2 linked regions of the Coturnix japonica genome follow. The protein of the gene in region 1 interacts with the protein of each later gene in a biochemical or structural test. Links are inferred from orthologs where the notes say so. Each region holds a gene or a part of one and is shown on either strand. Other genes may lie near its edges.

Region 1 (14,990 bases):
TTTGGAGGAGGCTTCATTGCATCAGGCTCAGCTGGCTGAGGCGCTTTGCTGTATTCTCCCTGCTGTTGCTCCTGCACAGGTAGCAGCTCCCCCTGCAGAGTGCGGGCACAGGGGGAAGAAACAGATTCGCTTCATTGCAACATCTTACAAAACGTAAAAATGCTAAAAAACCAACTGTAAACCGATCTCCAGCCAAAGTACACATTAATTATACAGCTTAAGTCAGGCGGATGCTCAAGGAAAAGAGAGATAATGTTACACCCAGCTGGGTACTTTGTAGTTAGCACAAATGTCATATAAAGCGTACCAGAGTTTGTCAAGTGTCTGTCTGGATTTTCAGTTTTCATTAGTACTATAATTAAAACCACATTTTCAGCTATATTACCTATAACAAGAAAGGAATGAGAAATGAGGTTGTCAAGGTCAGCCTCTCTCTGCTCTTTATGCTGAGTATCTGCAGGCCACAGGTTGTTGAATTTGGTGTAAACCAGAGTAATCAGATGGAATGTCACGTTACAACCAAACCTTTGTGGCTGAACAGACAAACTTATGAGGTCACTTCCTTTTCATCGCCAACGGAGCGTATTTATCTACAGCAATATACGTCAGGGAGACAGGCAGGCAGATGACAGACAGGCTGACAGATATATGGGAATAGCAGCGCCCTAAACACGGCCACGGCAGAGCTGATGCACAGAAACACTCCCTTTTAGAAAGCTGTGCTTGAGCTTATGCTGTCACAGCCTTTCCCACTTATAATTGACAGCACCACAAATGCTTTTTATGGCCATTCTATTGCTTGTCACAGAAGGCACAGCAAATAGGAACACTGGATAATTTGGATGAGAATAAGCTGACAAGGTTAAAACCCAGCTGCACAGCACCTTAGCACTTTGAGGGAGTTAAGAAGTTTGCAGGAGACCTACACACCAAAGCAACCAGCTATCTGACAGCTGATCCCATCTGCTGTGGGAGCCTTAAGCAGGGATCGGTGGTGAAAAGCAACATCGCTTCACTGAGTCAGAAGAGGTCAACATTTTACTAAGGATCTGACCCATAAATTTCATTATGAAAAACGTAACTTGTTAATATTCAAGTGCCTGGGACAGACGAGGCACCAAGGAATGGGGCTGACAAGAGGAGTGAGTGGTCGAGAAAGCAAATCTGGTTTTTGCCTTCAGGAGAGCCTGGGGAGAGGGAGGGAGGGAGGGAGGAAGGGAAGGAGGAAAAGTAAAAGAAAGAAATCAAGGCAACTGATCAGTATTAAATATAAATGGCTAGTTTGTCTGTGACAATAAAAATGGGGTTTAGTTGGATTAAAAAACCCCAACAACACGACACCAAAACCAAAACAACCTGCTTCAAAGGAGATGAGAGAACTGACTGCAAAACTGAAAGACTTCAAGATGATACCCCAGGAGATAACATTCTAAGAATAAAGTGCAAGAGCTCATATAAAATACAAAAGGTGTGTTGTAAGGAAGGATCAGAAGGGCAGACTTTGAGCTTCATCTCGTCATAAATCAAAAGCTTGTTCTCCGTCATCCTTGTCTATGAGGTCAGCTTTGATTCCCAAGCTGCAATTCCCAAAGGATGGAGGCATTTCTATCAGCAAGGATGTGTCTTTCTTCCCCCGGGCTGGATCTGCCAGCTCTGCTAGCTCTGCTGTCACCATGGGCTGTCATTATCTCAATCTCTTTACTGCCCGGGATTGTTCCATCCCGGAGCCACAGGGCACTATTGCAGGACCGTGAGAGGAAAACCCACTGGAAGGCAAAGGGCACTTGCAGTGCATTACTTCACAAAGCAGTTTATCATGACAGGCCATCTGCAATAGCTCAGCCATTGTTAGCAGCCAAACGATTCAGCACACTGGTCACCCTGAAATGCGGGAGGAATACAGGACGTTATGCAAAATAAAAACAACGGGTAAAAATATCGACTACCTCCAAAATCCACCACTAAATAAATGGTGAAAAGTGTAACTATCTGCCCTGCCATTTGCTCCACATCTCTTTCGGTCTGTGTAACTCAAGCACTAATCTCGTAGCTCTTACTCACGCTGTAAACTAAAAGAGGGGAGATTTAGATTGGATGTTTTTCACAACAGGGGTAGTGAAGCACTGCACAGGCTGCCCAGAGAGGCGGTGCTGCCCCATCCCTGCAGACAGCCAAGGTCAGGGGATGGGCTGTGAGTACTGATGGAGCTGTGGGTGTCCCTGTGCATTGGGGCAGTGGGACCAGGGGGCCTTGAAGGGCCCCTTCCAATTCATACAACTCTATGATTCGACGATCTGATGAATTAAAAAGTTTTAATATTAATTTCACACCTGTCAAATCAATTGCAGCACTTTTATACTGCGCAGTGCATCCCGTAACTTGCTCCGTTAGCACTGAAATGCTTCACTTCAGTAACTCTCATCACTTCATCCACACAAACAGCGCTTGTGGCATGAAACCTAATAATCACGGCGAGCATTTGCTAAAGCAAAGATACCATTTACAGAGAATAATGCGGACATCGGATCCTATGTGCTTCTACAGATAAAAACCTTCGTTCCTTCGGCACTAACGCAGAAGAGCAGGCAGAAGGGGCACGAAGCCTGGATTTTTAAGCCAAGCCCGCCCTCTAGTGCTTTAGAGACGGTAAAACCGGGAAGGGTCACTACGACTTGGTTCGTACGACCTATATGGGACCTATTGCTCCCATAGATCCGAGCCCAGGAAAGCTCTGTAACAATCTGTGGCACCGCAATTTGGAGCCGTTTCTTCCCTCCCAGCTGTTATTGCTGTGTGACCCACAGAGCCGGGGAACCCTCGGAGTCGGAGCTTTGAAAGATCCGTGTTGCCCTGGAAGGCATTTTGGAAAACATGACACAGAAGTGCCGTGTTCCCTTTGTACCAAGGATGGTGTCCACCTTGGAAACAGCAGCCTTCCCATCCCTGTGTGCTCCAGTACCATTCTGAAGCCCTGTGTGAAGTGAGGCACTGTAGGACCAAGCACTGTGCTCACACACTCACTAAGGGAACCTTTCTTCCTGAGGGTCTTCCTCTAAATGGGCATCGTAGAAAAATCCCAGCCCCCATTTCTAGCAGCACTGCTGAACTGGTATTCATGGTGTCTCACAAGTGCCCGTTTGCCATAAAGGAAAAGCACTGGCATCACTTAAAGGCATTTCCCCTCTCATGGAGGAAATAACACCAGTTAGTAAACATTTCCAACAACGAAATAAAGCAGACGTTGCTGAGCTCTTGGTACTGACACAAGTGGCAGTGTGACCTTTACAGGGTACCTCCTGCAGCCCCTCTGGCTGTATTAAGGCCTAATTTCCATCCTATGAACACTTAGGAAAATGATTAAGAACAGTACCCACTTGTATTCCATGTTATGCAGAGAAAGCTCCTGGCTGTGCAGTTTCTTGAGTGAAAGTGTGCTGGTGGGTAACACAACGTCACAAATTCTGTTAATCTCTTAATTATATTAAACAGACCAATGGGACAGAGGTAGCTAAAAGCATTTGATATTTGTGCACTGTTAAGTGTCCTGTTTGTTTTCCCCTTGTAGCAAACTGGACTGTACTTCCCCTTCACCTTACCCAACACACTGACCAGCTCCATTAACTCAGTAGAACTCCTATAACTGTTATCATGACTGATTTCCATCCTATCATCTGTTGTTTTTACACTGTGGATTGGAATGGAAGTCTGCAAGAGACAAACTGTCAGCAGTGGAAGAGTGAAGCAGCCCAAGTGTGGAAAGGAGCCATGTTATAAGAACAGCAAACCTGCAGAGCTGCTTACTTATATCCAACAAAGGGATTCTCTACACCAAAAGAAGGGAAGCGTGTTTAAAATTAACCACCTTTTATTGTATCCCATTCAGCCAAGATAAATTACTGTTGATAATTAGAGAAATGCCCTTCTGCCCTCAGCTCTTCCATTTTCTTTTCCTAAAATTACCGTGAAGCTCAGCAAAGAGTCATCGTCTGTTAGTGTAACTTTTCATCCTGGAGCCATTTTTTCTGGTAGCTTAGTCATTACACCAGTCGTATCTACACATCTGGGAGCTATTGGTAATAGGTGAACAGTTGAACTGGATGATCCTTTAGGTCTTTTCCAACCTTGGTGATTCTATGACCTGTCTGGCTAACTGGTGCATAACTTGCTGGCATTACCTTCACTGTGCTTTATCCCCATTTCTTGTTTGTTTTCTTTCATTTACTGGAAGGCATACAGCCATTCCTGGAAGAAAACTGTACTTAGGTTTTAATTTTCCAGGCTTTTATGTCAACCAATTTGTCCTTCAGATTTTTGAGACTTTAAACCAATTGCTGGTATGGCTGAAAAAAAGACCTGCATGTTTCTCTGTCAGGGTAGGGAGGGCAGAAGTAAGTATACCCATATTTAACATATACACGTCTGTATATTCAAGATAGTTTATTACTGGCTTTAGAATTTCCTGGTGGGGAAAGTTCTCTGCTCCTCTCCCTTTGCTCACTGGGCTCTCAAAGCTTTCAGCCTTGCTTACAATGCCTGTGTGCGCCTTCTACTGGAGGAAATCACTGCAGCACTGCACACTCAGTTTCCATAAGGCGAGGAACTCCTCTCCCACATAAAAAGATTTCTGCATTCTGATGTGAGTTTGAACAATGTTCATTTACACACCTTCAGCACCAGCCCACATTAATACCCACTCCCAGGAAATGCACCTGTTCAGCTCTACAGCTGCAAGAAATCAGTGGGACTACTCAGATTCCTTGGCATACACTTACTGACCAGTAACACTAGAACACGAGGTGGGCTTCAGACCAACTGTTAAATGAGGTTCAGCAAGAGGACATCCAAGACCCTCCACCTGCCTGGCCATCTGGAGCAGGTGAGCGTGGCCCTCAGCTGAGCAGTGCCCTACCCTGCAGGACTTGTATAGCAGTGTTCAAATCTGATCTCTCTTAGTGGCATTTTCTGTGCATTTTCCATGTAGTTTTGGTACACTAAACAATCCCTCACACCTGCGCAGTACTTTAAACACAGCACTGATGGGACCATGCACGTAGGAGTGTGATTTGCAGGACGACTCCTTGCTCTTTTGGGTTTCATTGGCATCAAAACAGAGCAGAAGCTGTTACTTCACACAACCAAAGTAACTGTGGCCCAAAGCATTTAAAAGCACCAGATGTTTTACCCTCATTCCTGACCTTTGACACCTGAACACACAATCTGTTACTAGCTTTAATTGTTAAGACCCAACAAGGCTCAGACACAGCTGCCACCCTCCAGGTGTGACCTTGAGCTAAAGAACCTGCACTTTTAACCTCCAAACCCAACACTGGCCCTGCAGGACTCAGCTCTCCTCCTTACACAGCTGCTGCTCCACCTGTACGCAGCACCGGTAATCACTAAACTCAAAGGAAACCAATTCAAATATACTGTTTATTGTCAGCTGAAGTTCCCTGCAGGCAGCCAGGATGGCTTTTCTTTCCTCACACAATCAACCCCTCCTCTGCTCTAGGGTACAAAGAATCATCACACATCGACAGCAGCTCCGCTCCACACACCGCTACCCCAAAGCACCGCACCAGGAGCCAGCAGAGCCAACAGAGCAGCAGAGCTCCTCCTTTGTCGCCGCTCCCCGAGACCCGCAGCCCAAACAGCCGCAGCATTTCCCGTACGGAGCCCAGCCCGCCATCAGCCCGCCATCAGCCCGCCATCAGCCTAACACCACTCCGCCATTACCCCGCCCCGTAATGGCGCCCTGTTACCTCACTTCCGCTCCGTTCCGCCATTTCCTCTCCGCGCCCCGTGACGTCACGCCGCCCGGCGGCCAATCAGCGCGAGGCGATTCCAACTCAAATTTTGTGTGTCGCCGCGCGGGCCGGGCCGGTCCCACAGCGTGCCGGGACACAGGGCAGAGCGGGCACGGCCCGCAGCTCCGCACCGCCATGATCAGCAAACCCCGCCGCGGGGAGATGCCGTTCCAGGCGGTGGCGCTCAGCTCCATCCCCGCGGGCACGCTCACCCCGCTGAAGGACCTGCTCCGCTTCGGCCCCGCTCCGCGCCCCGTGCTGCAATCCACGATGCTGGAGGGCGGCCGGGAGCCGATGGGCATCGGCGACATCAGCGACATCCGCCCCGGGCCGCCGCCACCGAAACGCTGCGCGCGGGAGCAGCCCGAGCAACAGCTCGTCCAGCAGCTCGCCCAGCACAGCCCGGCTGCGGCATTCCTCAGGATGAAGATGAAGATCGAGGCGGACGGCACTGACCGAATCCTGACACCCGGCGGGGCCGGGCCGCGCCTTGCGGACGGGGGGAGGCGCAGGGACCAGCAGCACGAGAGAGGTCGGTAACCAACGTGTGCCCGGCCGGGGAGCGGGCAGCGCTACCTGCGGGCTGTAGGGAGCGTCTGCGGCGGGGGGATCGAAGCTGAAAGATGGGGTTGGGTGCGAGCTGAGGGCCGCCAGCATTACCCGGAGCCGGTGGTACAGGCGGTGATAGAGGTACCGGAGCTGCGGGTGCTCCTCTGTGGTGCCCGGACCGGGGGACACCGTCCCGCGCAGGGCTGGATGGTCTGTCAGGCCCCGCCCAACCCCACCGTGCTGAGGAACCGCGATCGGTTTGTTTCAATGTGTTCCCCCTGTTCTGTCTGCGAATGGGGCTGATCTGTTGCCATCTGTTCAGTCTGGAGAGTGACGCTGTGAGATAAACAGAAACAAATGAATAGCTTGTGCTGTTCTGACAGCTGAGAAACGAGGAGGGTTGGTGGCAGAGCTGCTTGGAAGCTGAAATACTTGGGAGGCACCTGCTGGGTGCCCGGCTCTGGTGCATCTGCAAAGTAGTATCCAGCTCCCAGCAGCTGCTGCAGTGCCGAGTTTGCAGATGAAGAACTCCACGACCAGGAACACCCACAGCTCCTCCAGCTGCTCAGAGCCCCGTCCAAGCTCTGACCCAGAGCAGTGCTGCAGTGTTAGGAATTGCTGCCTGCTGGCACAGAGCTGCCGTCCGTGCAGGCAGTAATGATGGTTGGCAGGGGAAGCTGTCCCATGGCAGAGCCCTGTTAGCCTCGTGTTTGGGCCGTTCTGAGTGGAAGAGCCACTGAAATACTGTCTGATTTATCAGCTTACAGTGCTTCATCTCTGTACACCTGCCTGAAGTGTACTACGTATAAATAATGACTTTTAAAGGCCTCTTCCAGCTCAAACAACTCTGTCATTCTAAATCTTACGTGTTGGCCATTTATCCAGTTAGTTAACTGAGAGTATTGCTATGGAGGTAGTAGTGCCCAGGCTTCATGGTTAGTTATTTTAAAAGCCTTTCTAAATCTCCTTGCTGCAACTTAAAGCCCCTCATTGCCTTCACTGTATCTGTTGGACATGATGAAAACAAGTAGCCTCTTATTTCTACAAAACCTGAACATTCTGAAACTTTCCTTTCTAACCCCAGCTTTCCAAAATGTGTGTTTCCATCCTGCCTCGTTTTATCTCATATCAATAATGATTTCTGACCGAGCCCTGTGTTCCTCTGGGGGGTACTACTGGGTAGACCTTAATAGTACAAAATAGATCCTGTTTGCATTCGGATCTTATGAAATGTGTCTTTTGCTTCTCTTCTTCCCGATGTTTTTCTTCCCCAGTTTCAACTGATTTTTGATCTGTTCTTTCAGAATTACCCCACGTTCAGATCCCCCAGAACCAGGCTGTGAAAATGCTGAGCATCGACCCGATCGTACTGGAATCTCCTCAGAAGTTCTTCTTGCGTATGAAGCAGAAATTGCAGCAGAGGCAGCAGCAGCAGCAGACAGGTACTCAATGTTGCTCTTAGAACCGCATCAAAAGCTTGCGGGACTTCAGGACGCCTTTCTTTCTTATAATTTCTTGTGTGCTATTGGCAGAATAGTGCAGGCTGTTGTTTGTCTTTGTAGTCTGTGCACGGAGGAAAGAGGTGCAAGAAACCTGCAGCTCTGCCTGTTCAGCCCTGGAGATGGCGTCAGACTTGCAGGCTGTAGGTCAGGATGCTGCCTTCGGGCATTGAAGCCTGACATCATTTGTCTGTTGTTTTTGTTTTTCCATTTGTACCTGTCTGATGTTCATTCAGACTCTGGTGTTGTGGTTAAGAACTCTTTATAAACCAGGTGTGACAGTTTGGCACTAGAATGGGAATTTGATGGAAATGTCCTAAACTTTTTGTTTGCTAAGTCTTTCCCCCACACTTTTGCTTTTAATACATAAAAAGGAAAGGCTTGGTTTCCTGATGACAAATGTAGAATGAAGGCCCAGGGAGCTACAGGCTGGTGAGCCTCCCATCTGTGCCTGGGAAGATCACAGAGCAGGTCCTTGAGAAAAAGATGTTAAGGTACATGAGGGATGAGGAGGTGATCCCAGACAGCCAGCACGGCTTCAGGGCGTGCCTGAGCCATGTGCCTCAGCTTGATTCTGGGGGAAAGTGGGATGCTTATGTATTGGTCTGGTAGTGATGAAATTCTAGTGCAAAGCAATTCAATGAAGTGCTTGCTGTAAGGCTTGGCAGTTGAGTTAATGCTTTCAGAACAGTAGTGCTAACCACGAGAACATACTCAGATTAACATGACTAACTGCCTTTTTTTTTTTTTTTTTAATTGGCAGATCCAACGTTTTCAAACTTAAACAAGCAGAACGTTCCTCCTCGCCCAGCTGCAGAAAAGCCAGTGGTCAAATCTGCTTTTGGTGAGCTGCTCCCAAATGCTCAGACAGAGCATGTGGCTGCTGATAAGGACAATGAGGATAATTTCCTTGTGGAATCAATGGATGCTGATGATGAAATGTCTCTAAATACAGTAGCCAGTACTGTGGGTATCTGTTCTACCACTTCTGACCCTGGGGATCAGTTAGAAGGAAGATATGGAAATAGAGAAGCAAAACGTCCTGAAATTCAACAGGAGAAAGGACGGTTGCAGTCAAACAATCAGCGAGCTGAGCACAGAGCAGAAAAGATACTGAAGACTGCAACTCAAAAACCCTCACGGCACTTCTCTAATGTTGCGCTCTCTAATCCTGAAGCCTGCGTGCCAAGGAAGCAGAAGCAGAAAGAAAACTGTAATATAGTGGGTAAACCTCGGGCAGATCAGATCGCTGTCACTGCTGACGAAGAGGTGGGAGAACTTCCTGCTTTGTTACAGCTGTAGGGTAGAACTTCCCATGGGCTGCCTGTGGCTTGTGGTCATCATTTTGTTTTTTTGTCAAAAGTAATGAGCCTACAGATGAAGCTGCTGGGTGTACTGGGTGTGATGCTGGGATGGAGTTCACATTCCACACAGCAGCCCAGACTGGGCTGTGCTCTTGTAGCTGGAGCAGCAGTGATGTGCAGTGCTGCTTTGTCTCGCACTGGGCAGTGCTGGCGCAGCAGCAAACCTGCCCCAGAGCCAGCTGGGGAGGGGGGCACTGCTGGGGTGCTGACCTACAGCACCCAAAATGATATCTCACACCGTGGGACATCATGTGCAGCAGTAGGAGCTGGGGAAGGAGGAGGGGAGCTCTCATTATGAGTGTCCTCCCAGCTGCTGCTACAACAGTGGAGGCCCTGTTTCCCAAGATGTAGCCAGGTGTAGCTCACTGATGGGAAGTAATTTTCTCCTCTTGTTTCTCTACAGTCTTTGTGTTTTACTTTTTTTTTTTATTTAATGAAGCTGTTTAGCTCAGCCCATGAGCCTTCTTTCACCATGTGTTTTCACCCTGTTTTTTTGAGGAGGGGGTATGAGAGCGCAGCATGGTGGAGCTGAGCAGTGTAAAACCTCCTCAGGCCGTACCGGTAAATATTTTCCCCTCAAATGACTTCTTTTATTTTTTTCCCAGACGACTGTCTGGTTGGTTTGTATAAAAGAAGGCTTTTTCCTTTTTCCAGGAGTTAGTTAATTTCTACTTTGCCAATGCATTGGCAGTGTTACATAGCTTAGTCTGATATCAGAATAATAGCAGCTGTGATCTTTTTTCCCCACAGAAAGAAATCTGCCTTTCCAGCTGGTGCATTAAAGTGATAAATGGTTATACTGCAGTCTGTGTTGAAGGAAAACGAAAGTAAGGAAAAAAATCTGATTTAAATGCGATGTAAAATATGTTGAAGGGGTTTCAACATCTCAGCCCTAAAGGTGGTGCCATCCTTTGAGATGCGGGGTTGGATTATGTTGGTAGCTGTTAGAACCAGTTCCATGCAATTCTGCTGCGTGAAAGTCCGAAGAGTTCTGTTGTTTGTGGCAAATTAGGCAGCTCAACATTTGGGCTATGTGCCCTTAGTGCTGCTCTGTAGCTTGGTCTGTTCCTACTGCTATTAAAGTATACTTAAAAAAAATTCTATGTAGATTCTTTTCACATTAATACTCACCTGTATTTCTCATTGAGAGATCTCTTAAACACTTGTTAATCTCTAATTTTTGCATGGACTGGAGCTCCTTTCTTCAGTTACTGTCTTTTAAATGGAAAAGTAAGAAATGAAATATTCCCAGGGGGAGCTTAAACTGGGCTTGTATGCTAACACCTCTGTAACATCCATGAGGGTATCACTGCAACACTGAGCTGAATGGAGTCCTTTAGTCTACTTTGTTTTTGCAGCCTAGTGCATGGCATGTTCTGCGACAAACACTTGCAGTGGTGGCAAGCTCATTTTGTTCCCTGTCCAAATATTAACTAACTAAGGGGTCCAGAAAATCTTCCATACTAAGAAAGGAAATCCTAGCACATTCTACCAGTGTCTGCCTGACTCATCGCATTACACTGATATGGAATAACAAATTCTTGTTTTAAATTCCTCCTTTTATGAAAATTGGGTCGTTTTTTTTTTTGGTGTTATTAATGTTATTTATCTTTTCCTAGAGATATGAAGGATATGTTGTGGCATAGTAACGCAGTTGTAGAACGTGTAGCATACAACAAAGTTAAAACATCATCTGGCAGTATCTACTTGCTACAGGGACGTATAGATTCTGCTTCGATGAGAGAAGAAGGTAGGAAGACCATTCTTAATGTAACATTACAGACTTAGGAGGGCTTTAGAGTTACGGCTGTGAGAACTTGCACATACCATCAAAGCGAATGTTCTATGTTATTCTGCAGTCTGGGCTCGGGGGGTATCAGCACTTCTGTCAGCTTTGAATGGAGCTGGGAGCTTTGCCCAGTCCCTCAGTGCTGGGCAGGCTCCTGTTCCTGGCTCCCAAAAACCAGAATGCCATCTTCACAGGCTGATGTCTGTGTCCTGTGGCCCTTGGTCCACTTTATCATGACATGTACAGTTCTTTCAAACTGGGAAAATCTGCCTGTCTAATGTTTAGGATGTTAGTGAGTTTCTGAGGTGCTTACAAACAAATCCTACTGTGTGGTATTTCTGTGTTTCCTGATTAAAAATATTGCTCAGCTATTAATGCCACTTCTGTTTCACACAGGGTTTTCCTATCTGTTCATAAAAAGATTTACATTTGGGTTTCCTGAAAGGTGGAAGGAATACGTTGATGAGCTACTCAAGGAATTAAGAAGGTAATTTCTTTGGAAATTGTTTAATTGTAATACTTTCCCAAGTATTAGTTGGTTTTTAAATATATTATACTAGTGGAAGATAAAAGATGGTAGGTGTGTGTATGGAGACTTCTGGTCGCAGGGCCACCAACCTCCACTATTAATACCAGACCAGGCTGCCCAGTGCCCCAGCCTTACTATTCTTCATTACAATGCTTTGGTTTGTTTCTGTTGAGATGCCTGGGGTCAATACAAGTGAAGGGCATCGCTGATTCAGTGGCTTGAACCATGCCACTATGAGTAGAGCTGCACTGTCCCACTGGGATGGGGAGAAGGCTTTGAGTCTACATAAGTCTTTTGTTAAAGGATAACTGCTTTAAGTGTTTATTATTATTTTTTTCTTAACCTCTAAATCATTAGGAAAGATCACAAAAAAAGGATTACAGAGGATGAAAATGAAGAGAGTGACTCAGTGGTGGACACAGATGAGGTGCAAAGTGCAGAAGACTCAGCAAGAAATGCAAAGAAACATGAAACAAGGAACACTACATATGAAGTGTTACCAAGGAAAGATGAACACACTTGTGAGTCTTCAAAATCTTTTTCTTTAGAGAAGAGGTGGATAGTTTGTGATAGCTTGCTTTTGGTGGCTTTGTTGGTTCTTGTTTTCATAGAATCACAGCATGGCCTGGGTTGCAAAAGCCCACAGTGCTCATCCAGTCCCAACCCCCTACTGTGTGCAGGGTCAGCAACCAGCAGCCCAGGCTGCCCAGAGCCACATCCAGCCTGGCCTTGAATGCCTGCAGGGATGGGTGTAAAGTTGAATTATATGGAGATGGTAACAAAGATGATGACAAATATTCAAAAGGTTATTTATAAAGGAAAACTTAATGATATGGATGCCTTCACTGGAAATGCTGGGGCAATCTCCACCAGGGGGCAATCTCCAAGAGAGATGCTGCTTCAGTGGTGGTCAGCCACAATGAGGTCTAGAGGAGGTGGAGTCGAGCTCCACCTCTTCTGGGAGCACAGCTAAATCACTCTCACCTGTGCTTCCACAGCTGACCCAACACTTGCCTCAGCTGATTAATCAGAGGTTCAGGCTGTGATTTCCAATCACAAGGCCTCCACCCTTGACCCCTTTTTTGGCTGTCTTCATTTTAACTCCTTCCTTGAATCTGCTCCTGCAGCAGGTTTGTCTTATGGCATCTTACTGGTTTACTGCCAGAGCTAAGGAATAGAGTGATGTGCTAACAAGCATTGGGCATAGTCAGAATGGTTGTGGAAGAATTACTTTCTTTGTCTGTTTCCAGAGGGAACAATTGTGAAGGCATATGCCAACAACCAACATTTTTTTGTTGCCTGGTAATGCAGACTTCATTAGGGACACAGTTAACTTCTGGTTTTTAACTTCAGCTTCTTTTCCATACCTTGTCTGAGGCTCCAGCAGGGCTTGGCAAGCTGTTAGTACTGTAATCAGATTGTCTTGCTCATAACATAACAACTGTTTTCATTTTCTCATTATAGTGAAGGTTTGCTCAGTGCGACAACTTCTCTTTTATCACTGTAATTCTCTGTGTTTTCCAAGTTCTTCATAGCCTTGTAAGCGAAGTGAAAGGTTCACAGTGGTTTATAGTACATGAAGATGATTGTTTCAGTCTTGTTCAAGTATGTTTATTTCTATCCTACATGCTTGTAAAAGAGCATCGTTACTTTGTGGTACATCTTTATTTTCCTTATTGTTTGTGCAGGTTCCAGGTTAGTATGGTTGGGTGGTTGTGGTTGGACTTGATGATCTTGAAGGTCTTTTCCAGCTTCAACAGTTCTATGGTTCTCAGTGAACTGGTTTAAGTACAGCATCACTCTTATGCTTGTGAAGTGTGTGATGGTGAGTTTTCAATATGGCATTTGGGGCTGAACTGAAACTTGTTGTTTTTCTTGTAGATCGAACACCAAAACACAACCCTGTACCAAATGGCTCCCAGGGGATCTACACCCGTAGTGGCCGTTTGGTCAAACCACCACTCAGATTCTGGTGTGGGGAGCGTGAGTTTGTGGATCAGGGGCTAAATGTTACTATACACAAAGGTGGGACGGATTATCTGAGCTTGGTAAGTGTCCTTTGCACATTGTGAGTTACACATTTCTGTAAGTGGTGATAATAAATACGTCAGTAACTTCGGTGCCATTAAACTGACAGACAGGCTGTCCCAGTGAGTGCCTGACTAGGCAGGGCGTTTTGGAAACATTATGAAAGCATCTTAAAGCAGGAAAAAAAGCCTCTGAATTATCAGAGAATTGTAGTTGCCTGTGAAGCTGGGATAATCTGAGATTCCTTCTGGAAAAAATGGAATGTTCTGGAAGGTCAGGAAGTTGTGCAGAGGTTCTGCTTTGGGTGACGGCTGTTCCCAAGTAAAACATTTCCTGCAGTGTAACATCAAATCCCCGCCAGAGCTGTAGGCAAGGTTTTACATTATCTGTACTGTTCTCAGCTTTCCCTTTTCTGTGTAGTTTCATATTCACTAGGAGCAGATGTTTCTTCATTTCTTACACCTTGGTCTGTCCAGACCCACTTCAGTTTTGACTGGGGAGGTTTATTCTCATATATTACAACACTCCAAGCAACTCTGATGGTACTGTGATAATGAGCAAAGGGTGTGTGAAGGAAGGCAGCGTTCTTTTCAGCAGCTGTTTTCTCCATAAGATCAGTTGGCCATACAGCCCAGGGAGCACACCAGCTCTTGTCAGCAGCTCCAGCAGTGTGGATGTGTGTCCAATTCAGAAGGTCCTAACTTATGAGATTTTAACTGTTAGAGGATGGAGTGGGAGCCTGGTGAAGTTGCCTTAGTCACGTGTGCTCATATCAGCACCTGTGTGCATCAGACAGCACTGAGTGGATCCTGGGCAATGCAGGAGTCTGAACTCTACCCATCCCGTAGACGTTTGGCTCTTTCAGAGCTGGTGTTGGTAGGCTTGCTATGTAACCTCTAGCAGAAGTTTAGATTGAATTGTTTTATTTTGAAGATGTGTAGTACTGAAAAGCCCAAAAGAAAGACCATTTCGCTCTCAAAGACGAAGGAAAGAAAGGATTCAACAAAGACAGTGGAAGAAAAAACAAAAAGCCAAGATAAAGGTAAAAAAAAAACCCACAAAGATTTGCTTGTTCTATTGAAAGTTATTGAGTGGGATGATGAGCTGGGTGCTGCAGCAGCGTGGCAATGTCTGGCTGGTGCAAACAACTTATTTACATCTTTGATTATCATTCACTTCTGTGTAGAATTAGCAGAGTAACATTGATGGCTGCTTCCAGAGCTCAGAACATGTTTGTAAACTGCTGCTTTGGTACAGCAGGAGGACATGCACATTTCTTCCCAGAAATCTGAGCCATTAGGAAGTCATTTATTGAAGTTTCTGCTCCTCTTTGGGTCTCAGTATGGCTGATGTGTGCAACCCGAGGGAGCTGCCTGGGCCAGCTGTTGGTCTGGCTTTACTTTTCAAGCTGCTCAACTATAATGAAAT
Region 2 (14,843 bases), on another chromosome or scaffold:
TTAGCTAACCCACCTGTCTATCACTGAAAGATACTGTCCTTGTTTTTTCAAGACCAGCTGTAAAAACAACCTGGATGACACTAACATGCTGATCTAGAATCTCCTTCTGTAGCTCTGGATGTCTTTCTGTAGCATTAAATGTATTGTACACTTTTTGTGTAAATGCTGTTGTGCTTTAGTGGTCTACTCTCTTGCTAAGAACCAACTGTCTTAATGGCGAATAGTGCGCTACTGACATTTATATTTAGAAAGATATGAGTAACAGAATCACACCTGAAAGCATTAATTGCTAGGAAAATGACATGAGGCTAATTCCAGGAGACTCTGGCCCAGCAGAAAATCAAGTTTCACCATGATGTATTGCCCCTAAGCTGACTGATACAGTGAATGCTAGAGGCTCATGGTTGGCACGTGTCTGAAGTCACTTAGTGGGCATAGCAGTGATGGGTCGATGGTTGGACTAGATTATCTTAATGGTCTTTATCAACCTCAACAACTCTATGACTTCATAACTACACTTCCAAATCAATACTGCTGAATAAGCATATTATAGTTTTACCAAGAGCTTATTATGTTAAAGGACAACAGTTCACATATACACAGAATCACAGAATCACAGAATGACCCGGGTTGGAAGGGACCTCAAGGATCATGTAGTTCCAACCCCCCTGCCTGGCAGGGCCACCAAACATACACCTTTACTAGATCAGGTTGCCCAGGGCCCCGTCCAACCTGGCCTTGAACACCTCCAAGGACGGGGCATCCACAACCTCCCTGGGCAGCCTGTTCCAGGGCCTAACCACTCTCCTAGTGAAGAACTTCCCCCTAACATCCAACCTAAATCTTCCCTCTTTTAACTTAAAAAATATATATAGGCCACCTTTGGGAAGAAAGGCAATGTCAGACCTTTGCCAGGATTTGCCAAACAAGAAAAAAATAGTAAAAAAGCCCAGATCTTCAGGCAGTTGCACACATCAGTAGCCTCACAGAGTTAGTTTAAACAGCAAGAACTTAAACATGTTTAGATAATAAGCCACTCACATATCTCAGGCAAGAAAGAAGTTTCTGCATAACAGACTGCAGAACGCTAGACCGTAGGCTCCTCACAGTAATCCTGGGTCAAACACAACTGCATGTTACTATGATGTTAAGTCACTGAATAAAGAAGAGAATTAATCATGACCCATTTAACAGAAATTGTTGCAGTGAATGGTTACCCTTACATAAATCATGTAGTACGTCTTTGTTCAAATAGCATCACCTTCAGCTACTACATTTTAGTAAAATACTTTGGCATTTGATTGTGATGATGTGGCTCTCCAGTTGGACACTAAAGTTCTAAAGATGTAGATACAGCCTTGATAGCTGACATAAGTAACATTTATACCCAATGTTTTTGTCATTGTCAAACCACAACAGTTATTAATTCATATTTTAGCCCAAGCGATTAATAGAAACAGTGAGCAGCAGTTGGTTGAGGGACACTCAAACCAAATGATAAGTAAGCAGCATCATCTCAGTGTGCAGTTGTAAATGCTGAATGTAACTGCTGGATCATCTGAAGCAGTGAATAAATGTTTTGTGCAGATTATTTATAAATCTGAATAAATAAGATAAATAATGAATAAATAAAAATAAGATTTATCACACTTAGCTCTTTTACCTCTCATTGTACTTACTTCACTGGATTTGATCCAGAGCGGGACATGTAGAGCAAAATAAGGAAAAGAAACATCACAAAGGCAGCAAGTCCAACCCAAAAGGCTATGACAATAGAATCTGTGAACACAACACAGTAATTCTGTCACTGGTGACATGGCAATTACAAGCAAAACAACAGTGCAGTTTATGATCTGTAAGAAAGGTATGCCATTGAATTAGTTGAATTTAACTAAACCCTTGAAGGAGGGGAATCTGAGTGCAAATTTGTTAAAAATCTGAAGTTTCCTAGTAATTTAACACTGTACAGCCAGGGCTGGGGGATAGAATGGAAAATAAAATCTCATAAGTGCATTTAAAAGGTAATGCTGAGTACTGAGGGTGGTTTTCATTTTCAGCTCCTTGCAGGGGACGCATTTCCTTTTACAAAATCACTGTGCAGTCAGCATTGTGTTATTCAAGATAAAGCCATTACTGTCTCAATGTGTGGCCATATCCTAGTCTCTGGTGAAACAAAATGTAACCCGTGACCTTTCATATGATGCTTTTTTAGGGAGGAAAGCCTAGCTTTGAAAACATATTCTACCAGGAGAAACACTAAACCTCCACACAGGAAAGCCTGTTCTGTAAAGAGCCTGTGGCCTCCAGGATACACCAGTGGAACAAACTGTGAAGAGCCCGCTGTTCAGCTGCAGTACTTCTGTAATTGTCACAGAATAGTTCAAAAAGAAGCTTACTCCACCAGAGCTAAGTGATTTATTTAAGGAACAAGTGAATGGATTCCTAGCACTGAAGTACAGGTTCTCAATTGGTTTACACCAGCTGGAGGTCCGATCTGAGTGACCACAGGGCTTCAGGAGTTCAGGAGAGCAGAGCTCAGAAAGGATATGGAGGGAAAAGGGAGCTCGTTTTCTATGACTTAAGGTTCAGTGCTTCTGAAATGACTGCCTCATTTATGAGCTTGCTGTTAGATGGGATGAATCCACTTCTGCCCCAGCAGCACTGTTTCATAGATGCTCCTTCCTAGGATCAGTGCAGTAGTGAACTTCCCAGCTAAAGCCTCAGAAAAGTTGGGTGTTGGGCAGAGCACAAGTCAAGAAATGCTCCAAATTCATCACTGGCTTCTCACTTAGACTAAGGTGAAAAAGAAGGGTCATTGACTCCAGGGACAAATATTGACCAGGAAAAAATAAATCTTCTATCTCAAAGGACAAAAAACAGTCATGTTCTTTGAAACAGGTCCAACATATCTGATGAGGTGTTTCTTTGTGAAAAAGTTCAGAACGTGTTGTCATCAGAGCCACAAAGAGATAAGGGGGAATTACTCCAGGTCCTTTATACCTTCAGCTAGAGCTGACCCAGCAGGAGGCTTATCAGAGTGCTGAGTTTTGGCTGGGCTACTGAGAAATGAGAATGTACAAAAAACTACTGAGGCATCAGCTTATTTTATTCTTCCTCTGGTAAAATACACAAATAAACAACCAACCACACAACAACCAAAACCCTTTCACTGAACTTTAATTCAAGGGATGCTAAATGAAAATGGATGGGCCAGTATTCTGGCCTACTCTCCCAAAAGTTATTATATGAGGCAGTGACTGGGTGCTACTGCCAGTCTCAGCTCCTCAGGGGAGAAATGGAGATATTATGAAAAACTTGAAGTGCTCAGAGCCACGTGGAGAGAAATGAAGAGCACAGATTTACCAAATTCCATATCAAAGCTATTTTAGTTTCATCTTTAAGAGCCACTAATACAATTCATGGAATTCACTGAAGCTTATCAAATTTGTTCCAGATCTCAGGGCAACTCGTGAGGGATAAACAGAAACTTCCTGGCTGTTTTTACAGTCTTATTAATCCTAATTAGGATTCTTTCTGAACTGGGACAATGTATTTTAAGAACCTATAAAAATCTCTTCTATTGCTAACTTTCATAGTCAGCTTCTATATGCATGTGGATATGATTTTGAACAGCCTGTTCGTTTGTGGGCCAATTAAGCTCTGTATTATTTTCATACAAAATGGGTAGATGCATGATGCTATGAATAGAAAGCAAGAACATGACTTCATTGCTGGATTTAGATCCATTTTCATGAGACAAACAAGCTCTCACCGTGCTTCGGGAACAGGCCACATAACAGAGGAGAAAGCACAGAGATTCAGGTCTCTGTTTTACACTCAATAAAAAAAATAAGGCAAGACGGAATTAGGGAGCTATAATCCCACCCCAGGGGTTATGACGAATGTATAGTTCATTAGAGCTGATTCAGAGAGGCACCTGAACAAATGTTCAAGTCCCATTGCAGTCAATCAGGAGAGGTCCCCTGGAACATCAATATAGCGCTTATTTTAATTCTAGAGATATCATATATTTTGCCAATTTTGGAATATTTACAGCTCTATAAGCCCCTATTTAAGGGGAAATGATCACATTTCATCTTCTGCACAAAGGGCAAGAACTTGCTGAACATGATTTGTTTACATAGTTCCAAGCACATGAAGACAATAATCCCAGCAGCTGCTTTTGAAGGTAAAAGAATGTAAATATTGTGGAAAGACAGGAAAACCTATAAAGTATATTCATTGCCTTACCAGTCCTTTTATTCAAAGCAAGGAAAAAAAACCTAACCAGCTGTGGAATTATTTCCCTTGCTATTTTCTTTATAGCTTGTTTTCCCATTGGCAATTGGAGAAGGAAGAATAAAAGTTCTAGTATGACGCAGCGTCCATTCCTTCTAGGCTGCTGACATGGAAAAACATCTATTTTTATAGGAAACCCAAAAAACCCCCAGCGACCAGACAGTTTAACTTTCCTGTCCATCAGGAAACCAAACCCAACGTTTGTAATTTGGAAATTGATACAGCCAATAAGAGCTTTTTAAAGACACGAATCGTGGAGCAGAATCCCATTTTGGAACACTGCCTGGAGATCTGTTACATAAACAGCTGCCCCAGGGAACACACGCTGCCTTAAACCTTGCCCTGCAGAGGGGGGAAAATTGTAAATCTCACACTGTACTCTTACATCTTTCTTTTTCCTCTTTGCCTGGGATATGGGCAGCTGACATACAGAAGACTGGTTTCCTGCAGGTTTGTTTCCCAAAGCTGAGGCCAAAGGGGGTTTTCTTGCTGCCTAACAGGGCACAATTTCTTCATAAAGCTTTTTTTTTGGTCAGGAAATTTCTTCACTCACAGTATTATTCCTTCATTATTTAACCAGCTGCTACAGGAACTTATGGGTATTTTATATTGTTGAAGTCTCCGTTCCTTTATTATTAGATCAGTGAGTTGAAGTTACCAAAGGAACAGAAGATCCGACGCGTAAACAAAAAGCATGATCACGTAAGTCACCTCCTTAGAATATAAAGAGGCCTGAAAGGTGTCAGACTTCTCTGTTTCCTTATGGTAAGAGAAGAAATAGGGAAGAAAAAAAATCACTAAGAGATTGGTTTACTATGTTGTGGGTTTGTTTGTTTGTTTGCTTTTTAAACTGAAATAAGGCTTGAGATCACTCATGAGCACTCAAACAGGTATGTGGCAATGCTCCCTGCGAAACTATCAGTGAATTTCAGAGGGGAAACATCTTCTCACAGGAGCATATAAGGGGTTCCCTGGTGGGATTTGCCAGAGATTATCTGATATAACTTTCAAACGAAGAGATTTAGGTAAGTGATGTAAAGCTGCTCACAACCTGCCTGTTCCCAGCAGCACCAAACGTTGCTCTACACTATTCTGGTGCGGGATTTTATATATGGAAGGCTGTGGATATTTACATCTTCTTCTTTTAGGTATGTTGCTCTTGGTTACCTAAAGTTGGAGGCAGTAAACCTAGGCTCATTAGAGTTGGCAGAAAAGCTCTTCTAGAGGCAGTGCAGAATAAAACTCTGCTCTCATTCTTGCTCCCATAAGATCACAAAGCTCCCCTGCACAGTGAACTGAATTAGGTGCCTGAGGAGGGTGGTCGGAACGTTCCTCCCGCACACTCTCAACCTTCACTATTAGAAAGGCACTGCCTTGGAAATAATTTGAAAGCATATGATATTTTTCCTGCAGACCTGATCACTGTAATAACATTGGGGAAAGCTATAATAGTTCCTGAAACTATACCTGCATAGTTGCAGTTGTCTTTAGTAAACCAGAGACTAATAAAGCCACTGCTGTGGCTTCACGATCACAAAGATGTGAGAGAAACTGCAGAACACTGCCCATAGCTCAGGCAGTTCAAACATATCTGTCTTTTCTCCCTTGATCTTCATCCACCCATCCAGCTCTATTGACTTCCATGGCAATAAGGTACTGTGCTGACAATGTATATTACTACTTCATCTGATCATTCGGTAGCACTAAACCACAAGAGGAAGAATGATAGAATGTATTTTCAGCTTATTGTTCCTGGCCAGCAGAAACAAACCTCTTCCTTTACCAAGGTTTTAAATACTTATCAGTTGTAACATAAGCTGTATGTCCCAAGCTGAAAACATGATAGTCTTACAACAGAACTTGTAACTTTTCTTAGTGTAGCAGACAAGTAGTTCACACCCCAAGCCTACAGATCTGCATGTAATTAGATTTACACTCAGCAATGATAAAAAGCCCGTCCTTCTAAATAAAAGTTAATATTAGCAGTCTTACAGTTTCAAGTATTGTAAGATAAATCATAGAGCTTCATTATTAGCAGCAACTGCTGTTAGAACACAGTCAAGGAAAGCCAGTTTGGCACACAGACACCCATCCATACAAACCTTGCACGCTTAAAGCATTATGGTCTCAGTCACAAAGAAAGCAAGCTAAGTCAGTAAGACAAGCTACGCAACATTTTGCCCGCTCATTTTTCCTGTACTAGATAAACACCTACTACACTATGATACTTACATTTATTAACTTTCAACTTCCTTCCATCTACTGGAATTGGATCTATGTAATCCCAATAATATTCGTAAGACCAGAAGTACTCAGATGAGTTTGTTCTGTTGGCCATGTCAGTAGTGCATTTTAAATCAGCTTCAACCAAGTACTTTTTTTCATTGTGCTTGAGCGCCCTCAGAAAGAGATTGCTTAACTGATGCCTATGTAAATCACTCTGGAGTCCTGTAGCTCAAGGACTGCCTTGGTACTAACTAATGTTGAGCAAAAATGAATATTAATGCCTGACAGATAAATAGTAGCAGCCTTTAAGCGTAACCCTTGCTTCCTGGTGGGCAGTTACATTATTCCTCAGCATATCAGAGCTGAGATGGATGCCAAGTAAGCTAAGAATGGGATGGACAAGTGCCAGATGTGTCACAAACCCTTCTCTCTGAGAGACAGCTGCAATGAAGTGTTCTCTGGAGCTACTGGAAACAGCCAGCTGGGCTGAAGGAAATCTCTTTCTATTCACATAAAGGAGGGGGCAAGTACCTGACAAAATGCATCATAGACAGAGGATGCAACAAAGCTGATGAAAAGTCTGGAGCATAAAATCATAACAGGGAGTAGCTGAAGGAGCTGGGATTGTTCAGTCTGGAGAACAGGATGTCAGGGGAGACCTCACAGCTCTCTACAACTATCTGAAGAGAAGCTGTGACAAGGTGGGAGACAGCCTCTTCTCCCAGGCAATGGTGATGAGAAGAAATGGCCTCAAGTTGCACCAGGGGAGGTTCAGGTTGGGTGTTAGGAAGGATTTCTTGTCAGCAAGAGCAGTGCTGCAGTGGCACAGGCTGCCCAGGGAGGTGGTGCAGTCACCGTCCCTGGAGGTGTTCAAGAGCCGTGTGGATGTGGCACTGAGGGACGTGGGCAGTGGGCATGGGGGCCACAACGTAGGTAGAGCCAGCTGAAGGCTTGAGGTGTTGGGCCGTGGCAGCATAGCAAGTGGTACCTAAACGTGCTTAACTGAGCTGAGCAGCAAGGACAGCAGGCCCTCAGCTGGCTTTTGGCTGCATCCCTAAAGCCTTCAGTGCGTGTGGTGGCTGGGGAAGCCAGGGCCGCATCCCATAGCGCACAACGCACCAGTTTGGCTAAAAACAACTTTGAAACCAACCAAAGCCACTTTCTCTCTGCCTTCTCAGTGCTACGTCACCCAAACACCTCCTAACACACTCCAGCAGGGGTTATGAAGGCACAGCACTGAGCTAGACCAGCGCTGACACACAACCCCACCTCCTACGTCTACGCTAGTAACGTAACCACGCTGTGGGCAGGGACATGTACTAATCCCCGCCCCTGCTACGCTAGTTGCGTATGTACGCTGTGGGGCGTAGCCACGCACCGAACCCCGCCTCATGGACGCGACGTATTCGGGCTGGTTCCGGTTCCGTCGTGGGCAGTTTGAAGGTGATGGCGGGCTTGTTGTATCCGCTGTCAGGTGGGGCGGTTGCGCTGGATTCGTCTCTGCCTCTGCTCGAGTCGACCATCCCTCGGGAGGCGCTGCCGATGGAGCGACCGCGGGCTAACGGGAAAGGGGAGGAAGAGGAAAACGACGAGAACCTGCCCATGGTGTTCCTGTGCGGCGGCTGCAAGCGGCCTGTGGGAGATACGCTGAGTTGGGTGGCCAACGATGAGGACGCGACGTGTATTCTGCTGCGCAGTGAGTGCTGCTCCCATCTGCCCTCTCCTGCATGACGGCTTTTGGGGGCCCTTGGTCAGTGTTGGCTCTGTGCAGGTGCCTCCAGCAACATCTCAGTGGACAAGGAGCAGAAGCTGTCCAAAAGGCCTGGAGAGTGTGGATGGTGAGCGCTCTTCAAACCACAGTCGATAAAATACATGTGTATGTACTTTTAATAGGCGAAGGGAGGAGTGATTTGCTCTCTTTGTTTTTTTTTAAAGCATGGTTGAAACGTTTTCCTGCTCTGGCTGCTCGAGGGCACTTGGCAGCATCTACAGATGCACCCCAAAGCATCTCGACTACAAGAGGGATTTGTTTTGTTTCAACGTTGGCTCAATTGAAAGGTAAAGACAGAATCTGCATTGCTGTCGGGTTAACCTCACCTTCCAGACACCATATCAAGGGATGCTGCTGCTAACAGTCTGAGCAAGTTCCCTATGGTAGTTAGGTTTTGAGTATCTCTGGAGGAGACTCTACAGCCCCTCTATGCTGTTCATTCTGGTAGTCTGCCACTCTCATGGTAAGAAGCTTTTTCTCATGTTTGTATGGAGCATCCTGTCTTCCAGTTTGTGCATCTTGCCCTCCTGATAGGGCCAGGCTCTTTTCAGTGGTGCCCAACTGCTTGGCTCTGCCCTTTAGATATTTATAAGCTTTAATAAGATCGGTTCCCTCAGAATTCTCTTCTCTAGGCTGAATAGTCTCAGGATCTCAGCCCTTCTGGTCTTAAACTGTTCTTTGATGTTTGAGGATGTTGTTAAGTCTCCACATTAGAGTTCTGTCCGAAGTTTATTTAAAAATCTCAATCTTCAGAGCCATCTTAAAGGTGGAAGATTTTAAGTATCCAGACTAGAGATCTTTTATCCAAGTGTTGTTATAGTACTAGTGATAAGCTACTGTTACTTCCATGTGGGCTAGTTTTACTGTTTCTACTTCTATGTGAAGTTCCAGCCTGTTCTGCTGAACATACATGGGTGTTTTCCTTCCTACTCTGAACAGTCTTTTCTTCTTTACACAGCTAAATACTTTGGTTTTTGATGACAGTAAAAGTCTCTGGAAGACTATGACAGGGCTACAGAGCAGCATTCTCTTGGAGTAGTGATGATGTCTAGTTCTCCCATCTAGTGCTACACTAATCTTAATATCTGAATGACATCTTGGTTGTTTAGAGCTCAAAGCTGTTGAAGTTTTACCGTACAGCTCATTTGCAAGATTGCTAAAAATAGGGTTGTGTTATTGTTGTTGCCAAAATAGTGCTTTGACTGTGCTGGTGCATTAATTGCGATCTTATCAAGAGTGGCGGATGAATCATACAAGTGTTCTTTTGCCTTCAGAATGAAAAGTGCATCATCTAAACTGTAGCATATCAGTTACATTCTAGGATCCTCAGAAAAGCAGGCTGTTACTGATGAGGAACCTTTAACTCTCGAAAGTCGAGTTGCCTTGGAAGAAGCACTAAAAAGGGTAACGCTTAATCTTGCATTGTTTTGATGACATCTATACTTGTTCTTTATATTGTACACCTGTTTCTAACCAGGTCTTTCCCCATTTACTTCACAGGCAAACACCATACTAAATGCTCTGGAGGCAAGGCTGGCTACTGTTGAATCAAGAATCGATTCTCTTCACAGTAATGCTTGAAAGAAAATCCTGCGTGTAAAATAACTGCTGGAGATTGATGTGTGTGAAACTGGGATCTGTGGGAATATTTTAAAAGCTGCTCGAAGATCTGAAAGATGTGGGCAGTAGGACAATGCCAGCTACTGAGTCTTTGTCACAGATGAGGAGTTCCCCTTTTGTCTTGAGAGAATACCCTGGGAAGAAAAAGACTTCTAAAAAACATTTCAGTCAATTTGTTGTTTATATAGAAATATTTATTTTTTTTTACCTTGGAAAGCAAAGGTCTTATCTCCTGGTTGTCCTGTATTTTAATATCTGCTGAACTGAAGGCTTCAAATGCATCAGCTACTATGGCTTCCTGTGCAGTACTGAGAGTCACGCGTGTAACAGCCTCAAAGAGGAGAAGAAACAAGGCTACTAGCAGCACACCTTTTAATCAAAGTTAGGTGCATATTTGAACAAAGAATTCAGTGCTGCTTAAGAAACTTCTGTCAATATTTCATTGTTAACATGTAGATCTTACTGTTATGGTTTTCTGTATGTATGTCTTCCTAGCATTGTGTTGTTTTTTTTTTAATCCCCAATAAATCAAAGTAAGTGGTAATCGTGTAAGGGAAAAATCTGATTTCTGTTTATTTACATACCATTGCCCGATGCTACTTAATTGCATCACTGCTAATTTTTAAGTAGTCTCCAGAAACTTGGAATGAATTTTCCCACTGTTCTTCCTACTGGTAACTACCATTTCTCTTGAGAGCTCTCTTATTTTTCACTCTCTCTTCTCTCTTTTTTTATCTACCATTTCGTTTTAAAGTAGCACGCAGTTTGGCACATTGCAGTTGTCTTGTAGTCTTTCCTGTTCAGGCAACTCAAACACTGTTATGTTTATGCCTGCTGAGGTATTCTAAGCTCTGGTTGTTCCAGTCAAATTACTCAGTGTCTTTTTAGAAGCAGCAGCATCTCTAGCAAGATCTTTTGCTTGAAAGTTGTGCAGCAGACCATCTGAAAACAACCATGAACTTTGCTGTCCTTTAACTGAAGATTGGTTGACGTTTTTCATAGAGTGTATTTTTCTCAATTGCTAACACTGGCTTTGTAAGCTTGCCTTTTCAGGCATAACCCTTTATATTTTTTATCTGTATAATGTGTGTATTTTCTTTTTCATCAAGTACAGTTATGGGAGCAAGGATGCAAGCCCTTGGTTTCTGGGCAAAGTCTATGGCCATCCAAATGGCCATTTCTGGCCAAAGTCTATGGCCAAAGTCAAAGCATGCTGTGTTCTTAACGTCTTCTAACAAAGGTTAGAATGTGAATCAAGTTCACAAAGGTGAACTTGTGTGTTTTTCTGCTTATTCCCTGTCTGAGTTACAAGCGTGTTGGGGGTGACAGATCCAGCAACCTAGCAATCGTCACCTTGACTTGGTTTCCAAGTAGGCCCTTGTGTTTAATGACATTAAATGTATATCTAATATTTCTAGTTCTACCTTGGGTTCTGAGAGCCAAGTTAACCAGCCTCAAGTAGCATCTGTAGACATGTTCCTCCATTAAATATTTGGAGGGCAGCTAATTGTAGTTCAGAGCTATTCCCTAAACAAGTCCATCACCTGAGTTCCTTCAGCGACTTTAGGGGATGGGTGCTAGTATTGTATTGCTGTAGTGTGTAGCAGGAATATAATGCGTAAGCAAGCATTAAAAATAAGTAATGATTGCTTATCTTATGGTAAGCACATACCTTTCATAACCGTCTATCTTAGCTACTAAGAGAAAAAACACCTGCTGATGAAAGGAATCGGAAAAGCAAATTGCTGCCCTCAAATTGCAGGCAGAAGTGACCATATAGCCCAGTTTAGTTTCTGCTGTGGAGCATAGGTAATGTGTTTTTTAAATGTGTTAAATAACAGTAAACTAAGATGAGATACAATGATAGTTCTCCATCTTTTATAAACTACCTGCCTTTGGCTACACTGCATATTTGGTGCCTTTCAGCATATTGTAGGTGGGAGCTCAAACACTTTAGCGCATAGGCTCTTAAAATAGGTCTATGCTCTCAAGAGTTTCAAGCTGGCTCTTTGCTAAGGTGTGCAATGAACAGGCTAAATCTGGAATGAATTTCATCCAAAGAGCTATGTACATCTGCATGGGGAAATGTGTGTGTTTGGGTGTGTATATGAAATAATCTTTGCTTTTTGCAGTGCAGTTCAAGTAGGAGCTGGTATCTGGAGCGCTTAACTGGGTAAAGATAATACAGCACAGATTGATTGCTTGTTTTTTTAAATATAGAAATGTCTGTTGTGATACATTTGAATAGTTGTTAAACATTAATAAAAGCTGTAATTTTTCCCTGAACAACTAAAGTTAGTAATAAAGTTCTAATGTGCCAACGTGATTTATAGGCATGCAGTCATATGAAAAGGTATTGTTTCTCGTTTAATAAGCAGTCTCCATTACTGGTGGTTATTCCTTCTGTGCTCACTTTCAACCTTTGAAAACAGGGTAGTTTAACGCTGGGGGTTCTGCATGCTCTGTTGTATGTTTACTTATCCCAGGTACCTTGCACACTGTGCAGTGAGGGGAATATGTTGCTCAAGGTTGGAAGAGATTTTGCTAGGGAGAGGAAAATTAGTGTGGCTGATTGCAGGTTGGAGAACTGAGAGGAAGGCGGAAAAACTATGGCTGTAGTTTGAATGCTCATGAGGAAGGAGAAACCTCTTGACTAAGGTTTCTACATCAATGGGTCAAGGTCTATGTGTTTTCCACAGGGCAAGTGGCTTCTTTCCTGACTGAAGGTGGTATCTGCGTGTAGAGACCTGAGGTGAATGTGTAATGTGAAATGAGACACTTGGCAGGAGCCTCTAGCTCCCTTATGTCTCCTAAGGTCCTGCAGTTTATCCACACTTTGTCTTTGAACAGCTATTAGCTGGAAAACCAGCTCCATTTAATGATGATTCTTCTTCCAGTGTTAGGATTGAAAAAAAAAGAATCTGGACTGGAGAAAATGTGCCAAATCAGAAGGAACAGAACAGAAGGTAAGAGAGAACTGGTACATCATATCCTGACAGGGAAGCTGGATGTTGTGGGAGTGAGCAGGATGAAAATAGATGTGTGGATTCCAAAGGGAGCGAAGCACCTGAATTAGTTTTGTTACAGAGAGATCTGAACTTCAGATTCTTGTCCTGTGTACACAGGCAACATGACTGATACAGTTACCAGAGGCTAAAGTGCCACAGCGGATTGTATGCTGAGTGAAATAAATGTTATTCTTACAAAATACGTTCTTTATACTCTTACAAAACAAGCATTGTAGTGCAGATACACGCCAAGTTCTCTATACAAAAAAAAGAAGGTGTCAGATCTTTGAGAACCCTTCGGGGAAGGAAAGGATGGCAGAAAGTGTAATCCATGATTGAAAAGAGAAAGTCAGAGAACTACTCAGTGAATATTCTTAGTGAAAAAATAAACAGGAATAAAATTGCAAAATGAGCTAAGTGCTGGTAAATTTGTACTCAACATCCATAGGATCTACAAGAGCCTAGAATGACACTCAGGCTGAACACTTTGATGTGACACTTAAAATGAACACTTGGTGTATTTTACATGGAGCCATGAACTGGAATGTATTGTTACTGTAATTAATGCTTTAGCAATCTGCACCAAATAGTGCCAACAACCACTAGTCAGGGTTCAATAACATCAGCACTTGCTGTTAAAATTTTCCAATCATCACATTTTTCTATAATTAAACAATTGAAACTGTTACATGCCGACTTTGTCATAGAGTCTTAGATTCATTAAGATTGAAAAAGACCTCTAAGATCACCCAGCCCAACCACCAGCCCACCCCCACCATGCCCACTGCCCACATCCCTCAGTGCCACATCCACACGGCTCTTGAACACCTCCAGGGACAGTGACTGCACCACCTCCCTGGGCAGCCTGTGCCACTGCAGCACTGCTCTTGCTGAGAAGAAACTGTTCCTAATATCCAACCTGAACCTCCCCTGGCACAACTTGAGGATATTAACTCTCACTCCACCATGTTCCCCTTCTCCACTAAGATGTTCACCTTTGTGCCCACAGTCCATGATGCACCTCCTCCTGTGATGTTGCAGCAATTTGCCAATGCTTGGTTCTTCATCAGGTGATGTGTGCTGATGTGTTCATAAGGAGTTTCTTGGGATGGCTTGAATCCTGCACACTTTCAAACAGCTGTTTGTTAGCACATCTTCTTGGCTGGACTATGAATATATATATAATGGTAATAAACTAGTGGTAAATTAGTGATCATGTGTAGTATAATGCTTTGGTATAATAGCTAGTTATGCAAAATGAATGCAAAGTTAAAACAAATTAAACACTAATTGGCTGCTTACTAGACAGTTTTGTCAATGTAGCTAAAACAAATGAGATTCCAGCCAACACACCACTGGCAATGTGCTGTTACAGCTACAACCAAGCTAAATAAGCTCAAGGCTGGACAAGCGCCAGAAGCGTTTCTCAAACCCTTCACTCTTTTATTGCCATGAGAATACAGGGATGGTGGTCTGCTAATGGAGACGCTGTATTTACTGTGCTACGGGACTACAATAGAGGTAAGCCTCATTTCTACAGGGTCAAATAGCGTGACGCCGCCCAGGTGATTTTTTCCTTATGTCTCCCATAGTTTCATCCTGTGTGGCGAGAGGAACAGAGAATCGTCATCAACTTGAAAATGAGCACAGAAACAAACTAGTGTTTTCTTCTAGGCTCAGCCAAGCCACCCAGGAGACCAAACCTATGTAATTTGATAGTACAAGGTTTTATGTCTGCTGCTAGAACGGAACTGCTAGGACCATAAATCAGGAAAGATCCCCTTGTTTTCACTTTCTGAGGGTGTAAAAGCTACTTTTCTCCCATAAGCCCTAAGGGCTACTTCTTATACGTGGATGACAGAAGGTCTGTTTTAAAATCCTTTGTAAACAGGGAAAACTCTTCCCCAAACTTCCGTCAC

The links.
Region 2: the proteins of MIS18BP1 (region 1) and MIS18A form a complex in vitro, tested with the Homo sapiens proteins (2 studies listed by BioGRID). The link is inferred for Coturnix japonica from reciprocal best matches to the Homo sapiens genes MIS18BP1 and MIS18A.

The regions. Positions count from the first base shown.
Region 1 is NC_029520.1:53,292,630-53,307,619, forward strand, and holds the start of MIS18BP1 (mis18-binding protein 1), read left to right. Parts: upstream 1-5,910; 5' UTR 5,911-5,939; coding exon 5,940-6,336; intron 6,337-7,657; coding exon 7,658-7,795; intron 7,796-8,615; coding exon 8,616-9,121; intron 9,122-9,966; coding exon 9,967-10,043; intron 10,044-10,835; coding exon 10,836-10,966; intron 10,967-11,401; coding exon 11,402-11,492; intron 11,493-11,891; coding exon 11,892-12,055; intron 12,056-13,415; coding exon 13,416-13,582; intron 13,583-14,495; coding exon 14,496-14,604; intron 14,605-14,990. UniProt on the Homo sapiens protein: Required for recruitment of CENPA to centromeres and normal chromosome segregation during mitosis.
Region 2 is NC_029516.1:94,341,336-94,356,178, reverse strand, and holds MIS18A (protein Mis18-alpha), read left to right. Parts: upstream 1-7,893; 5' UTR 7,894-7,971; coding exon 7,972-8,221; intron 8,222-8,296; coding exon 8,297-8,363; intron 8,364-8,460; coding exon 8,461-8,583; intron 8,584-9,606; coding exon 9,607-9,700; intron 9,701-9,796; coding exon 9,797-9,877; 3' UTR 9,878-10,468; downstream 10,469-14,843. Other genes in the region: MRAP (melanocortin-2 receptor accessory protein), read right to left, coding at 1,680-1,779, 6,532-6,637. UniProt on the Homo sapiens protein: Required for recruitment of CENPA to centromeres and normal chromosome segregation during mitosis.